Drosophila melanogaster: one gene and its partners. The protein of the gene in region 1 interacts with the protein of each later gene in a pairwise test. Each region holds a gene or a part of one and is shown in the gene's direction. Other genes may lie near its edges.

What was found.
Region 2: the proteins of CG13482 (region 1) and CG13843 interact in a two-hybrid assay, tested with the Drosophila melanogaster proteins (one large-scale study listed by BioGRID).
Region 3: the proteins of CG13482 (region 1) and CG13075 interact in a two-hybrid assay, tested with the Drosophila melanogaster proteins (one large-scale study listed by BioGRID).
Region 4: the proteins of CG13482 (region 1) and Dhit interact in a two-hybrid assay, tested with the Drosophila melanogaster proteins (one large-scale study listed by BioGRID).

Annotation. Positions count from the first base shown.
Region 1 is NT_037436.4:14,327,747-14,330,412, forward strand, and holds CG13482 (uncharacterized protein), read left to right. Parts: upstream 1-1,599; 5' UTR 1,600-1,690; coding exon 1,691-1,999; 3' UTR 2,000-2,139; downstream 2,140-2,666.
Region 2 is NT_033777.3:22,607,732-22,611,278, forward strand, and holds CG13843 (uncharacterized protein), read left to right. Parts: upstream 1-1,753; 5' UTR 1,754-1,806; coding exon 1,807-2,375; intron 2,376-2,423; coding exon 2,424-2,943; 3' UTR 2,944-2,984; downstream 2,985-3,547. Other genes in the region: CG31156 (uncharacterized protein), read right to left, coding at 1,129-1,352, 1,415-1,544, 1,618-1,750, 2,991-3,221, 3,279-3,468, 3,521-3,547.
Region 3 is NT_037436.4:16,082,416-16,085,772, forward strand, and holds CG13075 (uncharacterized protein), read left to right. Parts: upstream 1-1,577; 5' UTR 1,578-1,620; coding exon 1,621-1,753; intron 1,754-1,822; coding exon 1,823-2,145; intron 2,146-2,199; coding exon 2,200-2,763; 3' UTR 2,764-2,849; downstream 2,850-3,357. Other genes in the region: CG33258 (uncharacterized protein), read left to right, coding at 177-309, 364-674, 745-1,059.
Region 4 is NT_033778.4:17,790,935-17,798,630, forward strand, and holds Dhit (double hit), read left to right. Parts: upstream 1-1,935; 5' UTR 1,936-3,616; intron 3,617-4,184; 5' UTR 4,185-4,192; coding exon 4,193-4,494; intron 4,495-4,661; coding exon 4,662-4,670; intron 4,671-4,951; exon of another isoform or gene 4,952-6,119; coding exon 6,120-6,197; exon of another isoform or gene 6,198-6,267; coding exon 6,268-6,329; exon of another isoform or gene 6,330-6,393; coding exon 6,394-6,682; exon of another isoform or gene 6,683-6,750; coding exon 6,751-6,835; 3' UTR 6,836-7,194; downstream 7,195-7,696. Other genes in the region: CG5033 (uncharacterized protein), read left to right, coding at 1-299, 363-850, 911-1,206, 1,270-1,423.

The DNA of each region.
Region 1 (2,666 bases):
TCTGAGACTTCCTGAGGTTTCTTGTAAATTACTATTTATTATGAGTTTATAATAAGTTGCCAATAAATTCAATTTATTGTTCCAATTTCATTAATAAACTTCGAAGTTTTTTTCTAAAACTTTCTCAAATATCCTTTTCTTCTTATTTTCCTCCAAGGTTGCCTTATCTACCACCAAAAGATTTCTTTACAAAGCTAATAAAATGTATTACCAAACTTTTGCAGAAGTTCTTTGAAAAGCAACTCCATAAAATCAAATTTATGTATTACCTGCATTGCCCCCTTCTATTTGCTTTCCCCCTACTTTCCAGCTTCTTTTTTACTCATTTCCTATATCGTTTTAGCTCCCTGAACTGCAGGAGGACAAAACCTCTGGTCGCACTTTAAATAAGCATTAAATTGATACAGCATAAAGTTGTTTCCTTCTCTTAGCCCGCTCTGTCTACCCCACTCTTTTGCTCCCAAGACGCACTCCAGACACACTCTAATCGCTTTATAACTTCTAACGCAGTTTATCAGAGTCGTCCGCAGCCCGTGGCCCCTCATCCCTTAATTCCAACACCCCCAAAAGTCATCCTTCCCATGCCATTAAGGCGGCTCAAAGGCAAAAGTTATTGTCACGCACTGAAGTCGCCTTCATGTGGAGTTGTGTGGTGCACTGAGAAAATCATTGGTTTTTAATAACTCGGCTCAAAATTATATTACATCAGTACGCAGGCTCTAGTCTTACAGTAAATATCAAATATTCTATTAATAAGATCAGTTAAAAAAGCTACTTTATTTTAGCAACATTATGAAAAGTTAACATTAGTTTACAGGGAATCCCTAAAATCATGTACCTATTTTGAGAGATATCCTCTTCATGGTAAATAACTCATACTCAATACACTGATAAGATTGTCAAGCTAAAGACGAAAATATTATGCAAGTGTTGATAAGAAGAAATTATATCAAGAGATTGTTTCTTTCTGTGCAATTTTTTTTATTGAAATGGTCGAAAGGGGGTATATAAACACCTCCACCCATGCCAATCTTCATGCAAAAGCTTTCTGGTTATTGCCTTCCTGCTCGCACTTTCTCTGTGCTTGTGTTGGGTGTCTTTAGTGCCTTTTTGGTTTTCCTCGCTTTTCTTCTTTCGTACTGTATTTTCTTATTTTTTGTTTAGGACTACGTCTGGCAAACAAGGCGGAAATTATTGTTGGCGGGGTCTTAAAGTTTTATTTTACCTTTTACATATCTATTTGTCAGCATCCTTTTTTTTGCAATATCAAATTGATGTTTTGTCTGCGAAATACTTTTTGTTTTTTCTTACATCTGCTATTACTATTACTGTCATTACATTCGTTAAGAATGAAAAGAATAAAAGCGCTTAAATGTTATGAATTAGTCCGGTGAGTAATTCCCGATCCATGATTGCACAAAAACATTGCTATCTTTATAGCCCACTTTGAGTATTAGCAATAGAATCGAAGTGAATCCCCAGTGAGTCAGTCGAATACACACCCCCTTCGATAAGATAAAGCAGCACAACAATAATACTATCTGAATTGTCAAGCTGTTCAAGTGGGATGTGTATATAAACTGGTCATATCAGCGGATGGAAAGGCAGTTAGCATTCAACAAGCAACGAGAGCAGTTTTCGAAAGGAATATATCAGTTTGATAAGGATTAAAAAAAGTAAAACATTCAAAATGTCGCCGCCACATCACGAAAATCGCCTGTTTGGAATCCACCTTGGCCTGAATTTGGGTGGAGGTGGACATCATCACCACCACCATCATCCACCGCCTCCGGTGCACCACTATCACCCACCGCCTCCGGTGCACCACCATCACCACCACGGACCTCCAATGCACCACCACGGACCCCCGCCGCACCACCACCACCACTACGGACCTCCGCCACCGCCGCCCCACTACGATCATCATCATCATCACCACGGCAGCCACTTTGACCATCATCATGGTCCTCACCATGGACATCATCATCATCACTGCTAGTACAATGGAATGGAAGGAAGGTCTTAAAAACCACAGCCATCAGGTGGCGAAATAATGAAAGTGTTTATAAGCGAATTTAATTTATTACATAAAGTGTACAAAAAACAAAACCAAAAAAATCATTAAAACCACTTAGACTTATACAAAGACATTTTTGAATGCTAGTTTCCTTGGGGAAAGTAAAAATAAATAAATTAAGAAGTACGATGATAATTCATGTAGAATTTTTTATATATGTATGTACTCGTAATGGATTTCTGCATTCCAAAAATACGTGTACTGCGCACTTAGTTAACAAATGTCCATACGATAAAGTATAAAATAACAACTAATCTTATCTTGATTGACATGACGCAAAGATTTCACCAAAACGTAATTGAACGATTCTCTATACATATAAAGCTGATTTTAAAGCCAAAGGAATCAAGAATAATTTTAAAACTTAATAATTCAAGAAATTCTAATCCAATAAGAAGATTATTGGCAACCACAAACACAAAACAAGACCACCCACGAAAACAAGTTTGTAAGCCGATAAATACAAATGAAATTAAATATAATTTTAGTACGGCTTAGATTCGCTTCGGGTGGGTCAAACAAAATGTTTGCCAATTACAAACCCATTTCGAAACGCTTTTATTTTTCTGCGGTTGTCACAAAACGCTAA
Region 2 (3,547 bases), on another chromosome or scaffold:
CAACCAGAGGATTATCTCGAATTCGTGCAGTTGATTTTATATTTACCATGCTACTTATCCAGAATGAGGGTATTCGAGATCGGTTTCACCTGATTTAAAGCTACACAGTCAGATCGATTCGAATTTGAATTATCGTTCATATTTGCTCCGCCAAAGATTCTGCTGGACGGCTGTTTAGGAACGAGAATGAAAACTGCTTATACACATAGACTTATTATTACAAGAGTTGATAAACAATACTTACATCATTACCTATGCTATCATTATAAATGATAAAAATAAATTATTAATTAATGAACAATATCTCTACACAACCACAAGATGGAGAACATCGGCAGTAACAATAACGAAATGAGAATTGAGAAGAGGACAAGCGCATTAGCATTAAGCTTAAGCAATTACTACCATACCGTGTACAACTTGTTTTTGGTCTTTTGCGATACATTATCACATTTAACTGTGTAGGAACAGTTACTCCAATATTATGTACGGATTAATATATTTATTTAAACAACTATCGGTTGATTACGCGACATGTCCATGTAGCTAGAATATGAAATTAAATATCCATTACGGGGTAAAGAGAGATGGAGGAAAAAATAAAATTAAATGCATCATATATTTTTGAATATATTATGATTATGGTATTGTGTAATTATGTAAATGCAGACTATATAACATTGTTTATAATAATTTTTAACAATTCTACTGAAACGGCAATAAATTCGAAAATACAAACTAACTAAAAGTGAAAGCAACTTGCCTGCTGCAAACCAAGCGCCTAAATGTATGCATATTGTATATTTATTTTAACTGGCTTAAGAGGGCATCACTTAGTTTCTAAAGCAATACCCTTTCGATAACAATTCATTTAAGACAACTTGCCAACTTGTGGCGAGAAGGGAAACAAGAAGACGAACGTGGAGACGGTGATTTTTATGTGAACATTTATTACTAACTGATAAGCTTTGATTAAACTTAGGAAAGCCGTTATACTATGCATATACACATATATATAAATATATATATGAACTATATATAGTATATATGAATGCTCGTGTGAGCAACCAAACAATTACGATATGAATCATTAAATACTTCCGAAAGCATTAAATCCCTGCAGTTTGTCTAATCCTCCGCCTTGAACTTAAACGAGGTATCCGTCTCCATCAGCATATTTTCCAAACGTAATTCCAACTGGCGTCGCTTCAGATCCACCTTTACCACCGATGCCACAATGCGATCGCCAACGCTCAGCTGCGAATTATTCATGTTACTGTTGTGTATGAGGCCATTGCGCTCCACTCCAACGTCCACGAAGGCGCCAAACTGGGTTACGTTGGTCACGGCACCTGTGTGTCGGAATAGTTTCAATAAGTACATATATGAAATGACTATCATAGTCTCCACTTGCCAGTGACCACCTCGCCCATGCTAAGATCATCCAGCCTAGTTAGACCTTGTTTGAACAGTGGCCTCTTGTCCAGATCTGCTCGATAATCCTGAAGTAATTCGCGCTGCAGGGCAACCAACAGGAACTCCAACTGAAAGGAAATTTATTTTAAATTATTTGAACATTGCAATAGGCCTGTTTAGTATAGATTGAGTGGCACTTACTCGCTCCATGGGCAGCTTGTGCTGCTTGGCAATGCGATCGAGATTAGGCTGGGATGAGGCAAACTGCTTGATGCTAGCTATAAAGGCAGCCTTGCCCACATCCGACAGCTTTAAGTCACATTCTCCGACAATACTGAAAGCACAAAAAGTATTTGGTTTTAGAGTTAAGTTTTCAAATTTTCCATTATAATGATTGCCAAGCTAAAGCAGGAATATGCGGAGCGCTGGCATTATCCTCCAATTGTGCCGCCAGCCAAGCTTCGATATGTTGCATGTGGAAAGGTAGCATTCTACGGCCACAACGATAAGCCGAAATACAAGCCCTGCTGGCAGCATCCGCTCAATGTGCAGGATCAAACCCGCTTTGGAGTTTGCTGGGAGTATCCGCCGGAGCGGTACAAGCGTCGTCCGCTTCCGCCACCGTGCCGGGGATCGACCATTCCCATCCATTTGCTGAAGCCAACCTTCAAGCATTGTGAGAATATCTACTCCCGCTACGATTTTAAGCTTGAGCAGTGTGTGCACGAGCAAACTCTAGTAGTTGACCAGAAAATGAAGGCCCTGAAGAATGAGCTGGAGCAGGCCAAACCATTTCAGATTGAGAGGGTTAAGGAGATGCGTTACCATGGAGTGCGTTATCGCATTTTAGCCAGCTCGACCGGATGCACTAAGACCTATCCCGAGTACATAAGCCGGATGACCGAAGAGCGGGCCCTTTGCGAGTTTCAGAGAGCCTACAATATCGTCAATCAGTCAAAGTAAGTCTATTAAAAATACACAGCCACTGCTAATTTAAAACTTTTTAGCACCGATTTGAGCAATTTATACCTGGACATGAGTGAGTCGAAAAAGGAGCTAGATCAACGCGTAGCCAGGTTGGACCGGTCTTTAGGAAGTACATTCTTGAAAGAGCTAGATTCGGTGCTGCAAATAATCGAGGACTTAAACACGTATTTCTTTGGCGTGATCGTGAAGCTAAAGACGTGGGCGGAGCTGATGGACCCTATGAAAGAGCACTCTATAGAGGACTATCTGGGGCTTTTGAGTCAGGAGACGGACTTCCGGACTTTTATGAGTGCCGGCATGGAGAACTGCACCTGCAAGCGTTGCGACAAGAAGGATCCCTTGAAGCCGTACCTTCCGTGCTGGTGTCAAATGGAATCTAGCGAGGATGTTACAAATCTTAAGAATTTTGACGACGATTGTCCAAAGAACATAGCTGGCATCACGCAACACGAAAGTGACATTGTGACACCTAGTGACACCTCCTTGTTAGTGAGGGCAGCGGATGAAAAGGCCAGGCTTGCGATGAATCAGGCGGAATAAAGTCTCATTATTATTGGTTAATGAAGTCAATTGAATATTGGACTTACCTTTCCACAACGTTGTAGCTCTCAGGATGCACCCAAGTGCAATCTAATGGATTCTGTAGTTGTCCTCCAACGCTTCGGGGTTCGATGCGCACAAAACCGGCGCACTGGACAAACGATTTCTCACCTATGCTTCGCACGGAGAGCAGATCCTTCCGTGTCTTGAATGGTCCTTTCTGCGTACGATGCTCAATGATCTTTTCCGCTTTCTTTTCCGACAGACCAGCAATGTGCCTATATGGTGGAGAATATTAAAAATATATAACTTATTTGACCCTTAATCACACATACTTGAGTACACTCAGACTGGCTGTGTTGAGATCAACGCCAACATAACTGACACACTCGGACACAACGTCATTCAGCGATGCCGTCAAAATCTTCTCGGGAACATCGTGCTGGTACATACCAACCCCCAGGTGACGGGGCTCTATTTTAACATATTCACTCAATGGATCATTCAAACGACGCGCTATGGACACTATACAAAATATGTTTGTTTGTGTTGCTTTTAATTTGATCTTCGTCCAAACCTGCGCTCCTTTCGTTTGTATCCATTT
Region 3 (3,357 bases), 1.8 Mb from region 1:
TTATTGATGTAAATTTACAGGTGTAACCAAATCTGACAAACAATACTATCAGATTTGCCATAAAAACGTCACTAAAAGTTGCATTTCCTAGCTATATAAGACTGGAAGTGCATTGAACGAAAACGTCAAACTATTTTGAGTTTTTACCAGGGAATCTACTGGAAATCCTTTGGAAAATGAAGCGAACTCTCCTGATTTTGGCCATAGTTTTTTGTGGTCTAGCTATTGTGAAGGCATTAGAGTGCCAGGAGTGCCTAGAGGATAACGATGTGTATTGTGTAGACCAAACTTCCTATAGGAATTGCATCAGTAAGTTTAAAATTAAGTTCCGGCAGTACTTAGTTCTGAAAAGATTTCATTTAGAAAGCAAGCCTTTTGGCAACGTGATAAGCTGCCCCGACGATACGGTTTGCACAAACTCGAAAAATGTTTGTGTGAAAAGCTCTGATCTAGCAGAATCTGAAGTCGATGTCTGTGGAACCTCCGGTGGAAACCAATGTGCAACATGCACAAATCAGAAATATACTTGTGTTAGCAAAAATCAATTTGCGAGATGTTCCGAATCGGTTGTGGTCGACTCAAACATCTATGACTGCGATACTGATGAGATTTGCAGTTCGGAAGCACTGGAAAAGTACGACAACATATGTACGCCTTCTTGTGTCCTCGATTTTGTAGGTATTCCTGGGTAACTTAATTATGTTGTGTTCTAGTCCTTTTTTTTTTTTGTTTTGTTTTTTGCAGCTCGACGTGAGAGCCACTTGCAGCAACAGTGAATACACGACAACAACTACCGCAGCACCGACAACTGTCACACCCAGTACAGAGCAGAAAAATAGTGCCTGTACTGAAGCTGAAAAAGATCTTCAAATACCTAAGGAAACCTTGTACTTCTTTACGATCTACAAGGAGGATACTTCCTGCCACACTTATCTCTACTGCGAAAGAACTGAATCCACCGAATGGGACACTGTTTATTTGTCCTGCCACCAACCCAAGCCATATTTCGATTCTACGACCAGCCTTTGCGTATCGACGAAACCAACGGGATGCTCCTAAATCGACTTATCAAATAATTTGCAAAACATACTTGCATACCACTACTTTTAAATATATATAAAATATTATGGGATTTGGAAAACATGTTTTGTTCGTTTATAATAACTGCTACTAACATATGTGTGCGCTGTGTATTGAAAAATAAAGCAAGTTACAAAAAATAGAAATAAAAGTTTAAACTTCAGATTTTATAAAGAAAGAATGTATTTCGAAAAGACATGACTCAAACGGTAACAGAAATGTCAATAGACCTTCAAAAATACCATATACATATGTACGATTACACTTTATGAACCGCATTTCCCGGTATGAAGTACGTAAAATTAAAAAGCATGTTGCTGTCATTTAGATCGCTTCAATATTACTTTATGATGATAGACTTTTGGCAGGCATAGACAACGAAATCTGACAAACAATATTATCAACCCATAAACAATTGAAGGTTAATGCATAGTGAGCTCCTCCGCTATATAAGACGGCAGATGGGTGGTTGGGATCATATCAGTAAATCGTTCAGGTTGAGCAGCACTACCGAAAAGGTGTAAAAACTTTGGCAGGAACATGCAGAGGATAATCGCTTTGGTGGCCATCATGGCGTGTGGACTATCGTTCGTGGCAGCTCAGTCATGTCAGACTTGTCTGGAGCAAAACGATGTGTACTGCGTTGATCAGAACAGCTATCAGAATTGCATGAGTAAGTCCTGGACCGTAGTCCTTTAATACCTAAAGTCCTTTCATGTAAACATTCTATTTCTTACCTCAGAAAATGGTCCAGTTGGAGATATTATCGAATGTCCTTCGGGCACCGTTTGCTCCAATTCTGATAGCGTTTGTGCTCTGATCTCCGAGGTAAATTCGACCATATTGGACGTGTGTGGAGGCTCTGGCGGAAATGGAGCTCAGTGCGAAGTGTGTTCCTCAGGCGCCAAATACGCCTGTGTCAGCAGCACCCAGTATGCCCGCTGCTCCTCCGCCGGCGATGTGCTGACCAGCAGTGTGTACAATTGCGGCACAGATGAGATTTGTATCATAGATGCTCTGTCGACGTATCAAACCGTCTGTGTACCGTCTTGTGCCTCCGAATTTGTAGGTTTTGTTGGACTTTAAAAATTATTCATACTAACATGTTATACCTTATAGCTTGGATTGGATGCCACCTGTAGCAACAGTATTTATCAGCCAACCACAACAACTACAGTGGCTCCAACGACAACTCCTAGTGCTGCGCAGAAAGAGGATTTGTGCAATGCTGGCGAGCCTAGTACCAATCCTAGTTACTTCTTTACCAGAATAACCGATGACTCCACGTGCAACAGCTACCTGTACTGCCAGAAATCTGGAACCACCTGGGTTGCCCTCTATATGACTTGCGGCGCCTCCACGCCGTTCTTTGATTCAACCACCAGCTCATGTGTGACAACCAGGCCGACCAGCTGCTCGGATACAACGACTCAGTCGCCCTCTGATTCTTCATCGACTGCTTCTTCAACTGAGTCCTCCTCCGAGTCTTCATCAACGACTGCTTCATCCACAGCTTCCTCATCAACGGAATCTACACCAACGACTGCGTCCTCGTCGGCTTCTTCATCTACGGAATCCTCCACCGAGTCTTCTTCCACGACTGCTTCCACCACGCAGTCTTCTTCTACGGAATCATCCACACAGTCTACCTCAACAACTTCTACGACTACTCCTACTCCTTAAGCAAACGATTTTCCGCCAGTTTTCTAATTAAAGCAATAATATGGTTTTTACAAACCTTCTAAAATAATAAAGCGATATATATTTGTAAACAATCTTTGATAGGCATTTAATAGGTCCGAAATAATAAATACGATACATTTGAAATTCGTCATTGGTGTTAAATCGTTCTTGGGATATAACTGGCTTTAAACATGACTAACATGAAGATCATGATCTTAGGCAGTATTAATCATCATCTAATGGAACTCACTTTTTGCTGGTGCGCATGCAGTTTGAAAAAGCCTCGAGATGTCTAGCATTCTATATGCCATGAAATACCATAGGATTATTAGCTGGAACCCCATAAACGGAGAAATGAATACGTATGAATGTTTCGTTTAGAAAATCTCGCGTCATATGCGTATGTGTATGTACATATGTACAAATCGATTTACGCTAAAAAGTAAAAGCATTTTCACAATTTTCATGTTGAGGACAACTCGCGATAGTGGAGACCTTGATATTGTGTGTGCATGCTGTGGCTTCTGCTTAGCTAATATTAATGGGTTAAGTTCTGTACATTGATGGCCGTAAACACTTGGACATAAACACACA
Region 4 (7,696 bases), on another chromosome or scaffold:
GCTGCACTTCATGCCACAGAAGTTCAAGTCGCTGAGGGAGGTGCCCGCATACTCGAGATACCTTCGGGAGCGTTTCCTTCGTTGCCTGGATCTTTACCTGTGTCCCCGTGCAAAGCGTGTCAAGCTGAACATCGATGCCGAGTACCTTATCCCCAAGTTGCCCTCGCCGCGTGACCTGCAACCCTTTCCCACGGTGGAGAGTATGGTTTACCGTGGCCACACCGATCTGGTGCGGTCTGTTAGTGTGGAGCCCAAGGGAGAGTACCTCGTCTCCGGTTCGGATGATAAAACCGTCAAGAGTAAGTACTAATTTAATTGACAACCTTTTAGATATCTTCTTACTAATCCATCTCACCTCACAGTTTGGGAAATTGCAACAGGTCGTTGCATTCGCACAATCGAGACCGACGAAGTGGTACGCTGTGTGGCTTGGTGTCCAAATCCCAAGCTGTCTATTATTGCGGTGGCCACTGGCAATCGCTTGCTGCTCGTCAATCCTAAAGTGGGCGATAAGGTGCTGGTGAAGAAGACCGACGATCTCTTGGCTGAGGCGCCCAGTCAGGATGTCATTGAAAGTGAACGCATCAAGACGGCGGTGCAATGGTCAAATGCGGAAGCTGATGAGCAGGAGAAGGGCGTCCGCGTAGTGATTACCCACTTCAAACCCATCCGACAGGTGACCTGGCACGGTCGTGGTGACTACTTGGCCACAGTGATGCCCGAAGGTGCTAACCGCTCGGCTTTAATTCATCAGTTGTCCAAGCGGCGCTCACAGATTCCATTCTCCAAGAGCAAGGGTCTCATCCAATTCGTGCTCTTCCATCCGGTGAAGCCCTGCTTCTTTGTGGCGGTAAGTGGGTTAATTTTCTTTTGTTAGTATGTCTTATTGAATTCTGTTTTTTCTTTACAGACGCAACACAACATTCGCATTTATGATCTGGTCAAACAAGAGCTTGTCAAGAAGCTGCTGACCAACTCCAAATGGATATCGGGCATGTCTATTCATCCCAAGGGCGACAATCTGCTGGTGTCCACCTATGACAAAAAGATGCTCTGGTTCGATTTGGATCTGTCCACAAAGCCCTACCAGACCATGCGACTCCATCGCAATGCAGTTCGCAGTGTTGCTTTCCATCTTCGATATCCGCTCTTTGCTTCCGGCAGCGATGACCAGGCTGTGATCGTCTCCCATGGCATGGTCTATAAGTAAGTGGCTATAAATCAACATTGCCCAAGGTTAATTACGAATTTCTCCAAACTTTTTTTTAGTGACCTGCTGCAAAACCCTTTGATTGTGCCTCTCAAGAAGCTGCAAACACACGAGAAACGCGATGAGTTTGGTGTGCTGGATGTTAACTGGCATCCGGTGCAGCCATGGGTCTTCTCCACGGGCGCGGACAGTACCATCCGACTATACACGTAATTTAGGTGTACAAACCCCAAGAAAGTTTCTTTTAGTTTCCGAAAGTTTTGTGAAATTTCAATAGTAAATAAAAAATATATTAATTTTTATGAAAAGTAAAGTATTTCATATAACCATTTCATTCGAACATTTTAAAAACAACGGTTTTCGAAATCAACGGGATCCCAAAATCAAAATGTAAGTGCAACCCTGCCGAAAGTTTATAAGTTCTGGCCCCAAAGCTTTGCGGTAAATTCCAGTGGGGCGAAGAGTCCCGAGCTTTATTCTCTTTTTCCGACTCGCGCACATGTCTTACCGTCCGTTCTCTCGCGCTCTCCGCCTGTCAGTCCCTCTCCTGTGTGTACCAGGAATTCTAACTGTATAGCAATTCCACAAAGCTTTTCGCTCAGTCCACCTATGGAGCCCTCCCCCGGCTGCCCACTTTCCACTCGCCGTTATCTTGCGTTCCTCGGGAGGAGCGCGCGCATTGGAAAATCAAAATCAAGAGCTGGCGACACGGCACTGCTTGGAAATCAGTCGCCTGCCTTTGCCCGAGCGGAGAGAATCTCGAAACGCTCGAATCGACCCGTCGAGGATTTTGGCTTCAGCTTCTGGGTGCTGCTGGTGCTGAGCAGCCAAAATCGCAGAGCGCAGAAATCGAATGGGAATTGGCTGCCATTGCGGGGGCACCGAGCACGAAGGAATATAATAAAATATGGCCGAGGGCGAAATGTGAAAATGTGAAAATGCCAGTCCAGGCAGTCCAGTGACCACGAAAATTGCAGTTTCCCCCAATTCGTATTCATACACACACACACATTCTCAACAGTCAACGAAAAAAATCGTAAAGAAATTCACAAAAAAAAAATCGAAGCACAAGCAAAACAATTTCGGGGCGAAAAAGAAAAATATATACAAATATACACATTTCGATTCCGATTCTAGTGGCAAAAATTCGTATGTACTCGTCGCTGCTCCTCAAAAACATACATACATACAAACGCGACCCCCTTTTCCCGCCCACCCATTCGCCCAAAAATCCTCAAAGAAAATATAAACGTGTGTGTGGTGTTTGAGTGAAAATCTGAACGGAAGCGCTGGTTCAACAACAAGAAAATAAAACAAAATATACATATAATATACATAGATAGCCAGGCTAAAGGCAATGGTCAACAAAAGAACCCAAGCAGCTGATTTGTGATAAGTGCAACGACCAAAAATCGCTGGCGTTTCGAGTTACAAACAAGTGCAATTAGCTGCTGATGCCTACATGTTGCAGCTGTTGCAGCAACATCAGCACAAGTGGAGAAAATCACGCATACGCCCCATCCGCCCAACGGGCCAAACAATGCGCTCCACTTAGCCAAGTTGCGTGTCAATGTGGTGGTACTCCAGCCCACCCCCTCCTCACGCACACACGCACAGACGCACGCACACAACGGCGCCTACATATATATGTACATATACAATGGCAGTGTAATGACTAGCACAAGAAATAAATAAAGGCCAGAACAACAACTACGGTGGCAGCTCCAGCTGCTCATAAATTTCGTAACGCTTGTGAAATGTGCCCCTTGGTGCACGGGGCCATTGAATCGCTAGATTTTCGCCCGTAAATCCGGAGCGGAATATGTAAATGCCACCCGCGCACCGTCAACTCTCTAAAGAAACGCTAGACCCCCTAGAAAAAAAAACGGAAACCAAACCCACGCGAAGGTTTGAAGTCAGGAACCTACGATAAGGATAACTACTACTCGAAAAGGTTATCGAAAAAATCTTGAAGAATTTCTGGAATTTTTCGGCTTGTAAAATCGCCCAAGGAAAAGCTAAGGAGAAGGAAAAAAAACATAAAACAAAACGAAAACTAAAATCAAGAGCAGCAGCTGTGGGCAGAGCGAGAAAGAGAGGACAGAGCGCCACAGGGAGAGAGAGAGAGAGAGAGAGAGTGTGTGGGAACTTTCGATAAAAAATTATTAGCAAAAACATAAATACGTAACGGTCTCCCTGCATACCCCACATCCCCAAGGAAGCCGAGAAAGAGAAGCCGAAGCAAAGAAAAGAGCACCAAAGCGAGCGGGTGAGTGGGTAGGTCAGTGGCAGTGGGCGGTCCGCCAGCTGGGGCAGCACCACCTCACCACCCAACACCCATCACCATCTCCACCTCCACCATCTCCGTCAGCTCCGCCAGCGTCAACCTCAACTTTCAAAGGGCAGGTAAGTGCACACGGAAAACGAGGCGAATCGGGAGCAGTTGGACCTACTCCTCCAGATTACACTTTCCCGAATATGTATTTATTATATTTTGATAGTTTTGGTAAATTAAATATACAAACAATCAATGTTTTAATAATTCAACAGTTTTCTTTACTATTTAATCTTTAATTTCATATAAAGTTTCTTTGTGATAAATGCAAAGAACAAATATTACAATTTTATTTAAAAGGTGTTTTGACTAGATTCAAATAACATATTTATGAATATAATGTTTATAATATAAATATAATATTTATAATAATATTTATAATATAATGAATCAGTTTCAGTATCTTTTGAATGACATCTTGTCAAATTAATGGGATCCAAACCAAAAAGACAAACACTCACCAGCCAAGACAATTAAGTAGTTAAGTTCCGGGCACCTTGGTTAACAATTCTTTCTAGATGACTAATAGAGCTATTTTTTGCAGTGTGACTGTGATTCGCCCAACTGTCAGCACACTTTCCCCCCACTCCATCCCGTGCACAGTGTTCATTAACGTTTCAATTTGTTCCTTTATTGCAGGTAGCGGCATGTCCTGCACCGTTTCCGAGCTGCCCAGTGGCTGTCGATTGCGCGGCATGACTGCATCCTCACAGCAAAGTGCCGCCAACAATAGTGGCAACAATGGGAATGGCAATGGGAACGGTGGCGGCGGGGGCGTCGTCGGAGGTGGCGGCAGCCTGGGCGGAGTATCGCCCACCGTGGGCGGCAGCGTGGGAATCCTCGGCTCCACGTCCAACGTGCTGCAGGAGTCGAACGCGACCACGTTTCAGCGTCCGCAGTCGCAGAAGCCTTGCTGCTTCTGCTGGTGCTGCTGCTGCTCCTGCTCCTGGTGAGTATGGAGGCCACCACCGAGTGGCCTATTTGTGCACCGCTCGAATCCTCTGACACGAAATCAATTTCTTTCTCGTTACCGCGCTGCCTTGACTCAACCGTTCGGTCATTAAAACAACTACCTGTGCCAATACCCATCCACTGCCAACCACATCCTGACAACAGGGCCAAATGGTAAGCACCTCCTGAAACACTCATGCATTCATACACCGAGAGAATCGATTGGTATTATTGGACTGTAAAGTATAGAATATTAAATGCGCAATTATTTTAAATACGTAATTATTTTACCTAGTTAGCTTTATTTTCAAGATATACTATAACAGATGAACCAATCTTTGGTTACATTAACATCGTTATTGTTAATTAATTTATTTATTTTTACTTATTTCAATATCAATTTTTTGCAAATTTTTTATTTTTTTATTTTATAAATCATTTCATTTTAAAGGTTGTCTGTTTGAGCCCTTTTTTTAAGAGAGTCGAAATATTATTAGTCCATGTTTCTCGCAGTGCTGTCATGGATGTGGCCACGGTTACAGCTATGGTTATTGCTTTGGCTTTAACTATTGCTTGGCTTTGGCTTTGGCTTCGGCTATGGCTGTGCCCACTGACATGGATATGGATATGGATATGGATAGGGAAGTTGAAATGGAAATGGACACGGTAAAGGTGGCCTTCTGCTGGCAGCTGGCAACGCTGCTGAACATCCAAAAGCTCTTTCTCTCTCCGCCATGCGAACTTTCTCCGCTTTCTCTCTTACGAAACGCTCTTTAGCACTGGTGCCGCTCTCTCAGTTTCTCCCGCATTCATTCACAATTCCGTGAGCAAGGCGACGGGCAGCGAAAAGCTCTCTGGAGGGCACTTTTCAAATCAAATATAAATAAGTATGTGGCGGCTCCTCCGCGGACTCCTCCAAGTGTTGCATGTTTTCGTGAATGAAAACGAAAGTCTTTTGCGACCCGCCGCCAACTCGCAACCCCCCGTCCGCACCTTTGTGTGCACAACTTGGGGGTATATCGCCCCGAAAACCCAGTTCAGAGCACCCGATGTCGCCTCAAACCCCCCCTGGCCGCATCTAATTTGATTCATATATGTATAGGGGTATATGTACGCCTGTGTGACTTTGATTAGGTATTGGGCCAGCGAGTCGCTCTGATAACTGTCGTCCAGATAAGAGAGCTTTATGTCAAGTTCGAGTACTCCGTTGCTCTGTCTCCGGGCTTCGAAACCCAAAACCGATATGCCATTAGCCTATCTACAGTGTTTATTCGAGGCATTATATCTTTATATCGCGTTCAGATATATGAGTAACTTTTAAACTCTCTAGCTTAAAATGTGGTAGAATCGCTTATGTTCAGTTTCTATGTTTGGTGCAAGTGTTTTATAAAATGCTAATCAGTAGCTTGCGCTATCTAAAAGTTTACGTTATCGAGCGGCTACTGTACTTACATATTTATGCTATTTTGTGCCAGTTAAAAATGAGTCAGGCTGAGCGCCAATTCAGCGATGAATAAAATTGTAGTATACTTTAAAGGGTGATTGATGAGTTGTAAAATCAAAATAATCGACTTTTAACAAGCAAACCCCCCTTGTTTTTTCCCTTTTTTCTTATCTTTACAGTCTGGCCATCAAGAATGCCGATGAAAATGCCCCCACGAAGCGAGATCTGGTAAATGCCGAATTCTTGGATGGCGAGCAGTGAGTTTGAGCACCAATCAACTTAATAAACTTAAGCCACGGAAAAACTACATTTATTTGTACATTACAGACCCACACTGGAGGAAATCCGCAGCTGGGGCAAAAGCTTTGACAAGCTGATGAAAAGTACAGGTAAGCCATTGACAATTGCCACCTTGATCCAAACTAATTGGTGGTTGGCCGAATATTTTCCCAGCTGGTCGAAAGGTGTTCCAGAACTTCCTGCGCAGCGAATTCAGTGAGGAGAACATCCTATTCTGGCTGGCCTGCGAGGATCTCAAGAAGGAGAATAGCCCAGAGTTGGTGGAGGAGAAGGCGCGCCTCATCTACGAGGACTACATCTCGATCCTGTCGCCCAGGGAGGTGTCGCTGGACTCCAGGGTCCGCGAGATTGTCAACCGGAACATGATCGAGCCCACGACGCACACCTTCGACGAAGCTCAAATCCAGATCTACACACTGATGCACAGAGACTCATATCCGAGGTGAGTGCTCTTTAGGCAAAAATAAAAGATACTGTATTTATACTTAAACGGGGTATCTTTTTCAACAGATTCCTAAACTCTCAAAAGTTCAAGACACTAGCTCAACTGCAAGACAACTCGAATGCCGGTTCCAAAGCGGATAGTCCAACTTAGAGAGGATGGCTTGATGTCCCGGATCGGATTTGGATTTGGATTTGGATCGAATTCAGTTGCGCTGTGTTGACTTCCGCTGTTGCTCTCCACTGGTATATCTCTGATTTTCCGCCCCAATCGCTGCTGCAATCGACTAAGCAATATGTATCCATTAGTAGAACCATTTAACCATTTTGCGAGCAGCCACGAAATCAGGATCCTGGTTGGGGCCGGTGAATCAGACGTCGTGCGTTCAATGTGAATCGGATTCCTTTCTCTTCCTACGTTCTAGTCGTTAGCTAACCAAAGAGTTAGGTATTACAAAATATGTTTTCACTAAGAAGCAGGTTCGACCACAGAAAGCATTTTCCAAAACAACCAAAAAAAAACAAAAAAACAGAAAGAAAAACAACAAGAAAAAAATACCCAGAAAGCTAATACGAAACGAGCGACACAAATAGCATCCATTGTAATACTAGTGATCTAAGAGACGTATTAATCAAATTGAAACCAAGATTACGGAACCCGCTAACTGATAAGTATGTTTAAACGTAATCATAAACCGCAACGTAACAGAAATACTTTTTCCAAAAAAACATTACAAAAAAAAGAAGGAAAGAAACCAAAAAATCTTTTTAAACGTATTACATACATAAACTTTATAAACTTATATATACAACACACCAGCATATATATATATATATATATATATAGTAAAATTGTTGTTTTATTTATGAGTCGAACTAATGTCCCGTCAGTTGACTAAGGACAACGCCAAGAAATAAAAAATAGTTTTTAGGAGAAATAGTTTCACGACTTTATTCTTTGGATCTCAGCTTAAGACTAAAAATCAAATGCAAATTGGATTGAGGAGAAGCCTCA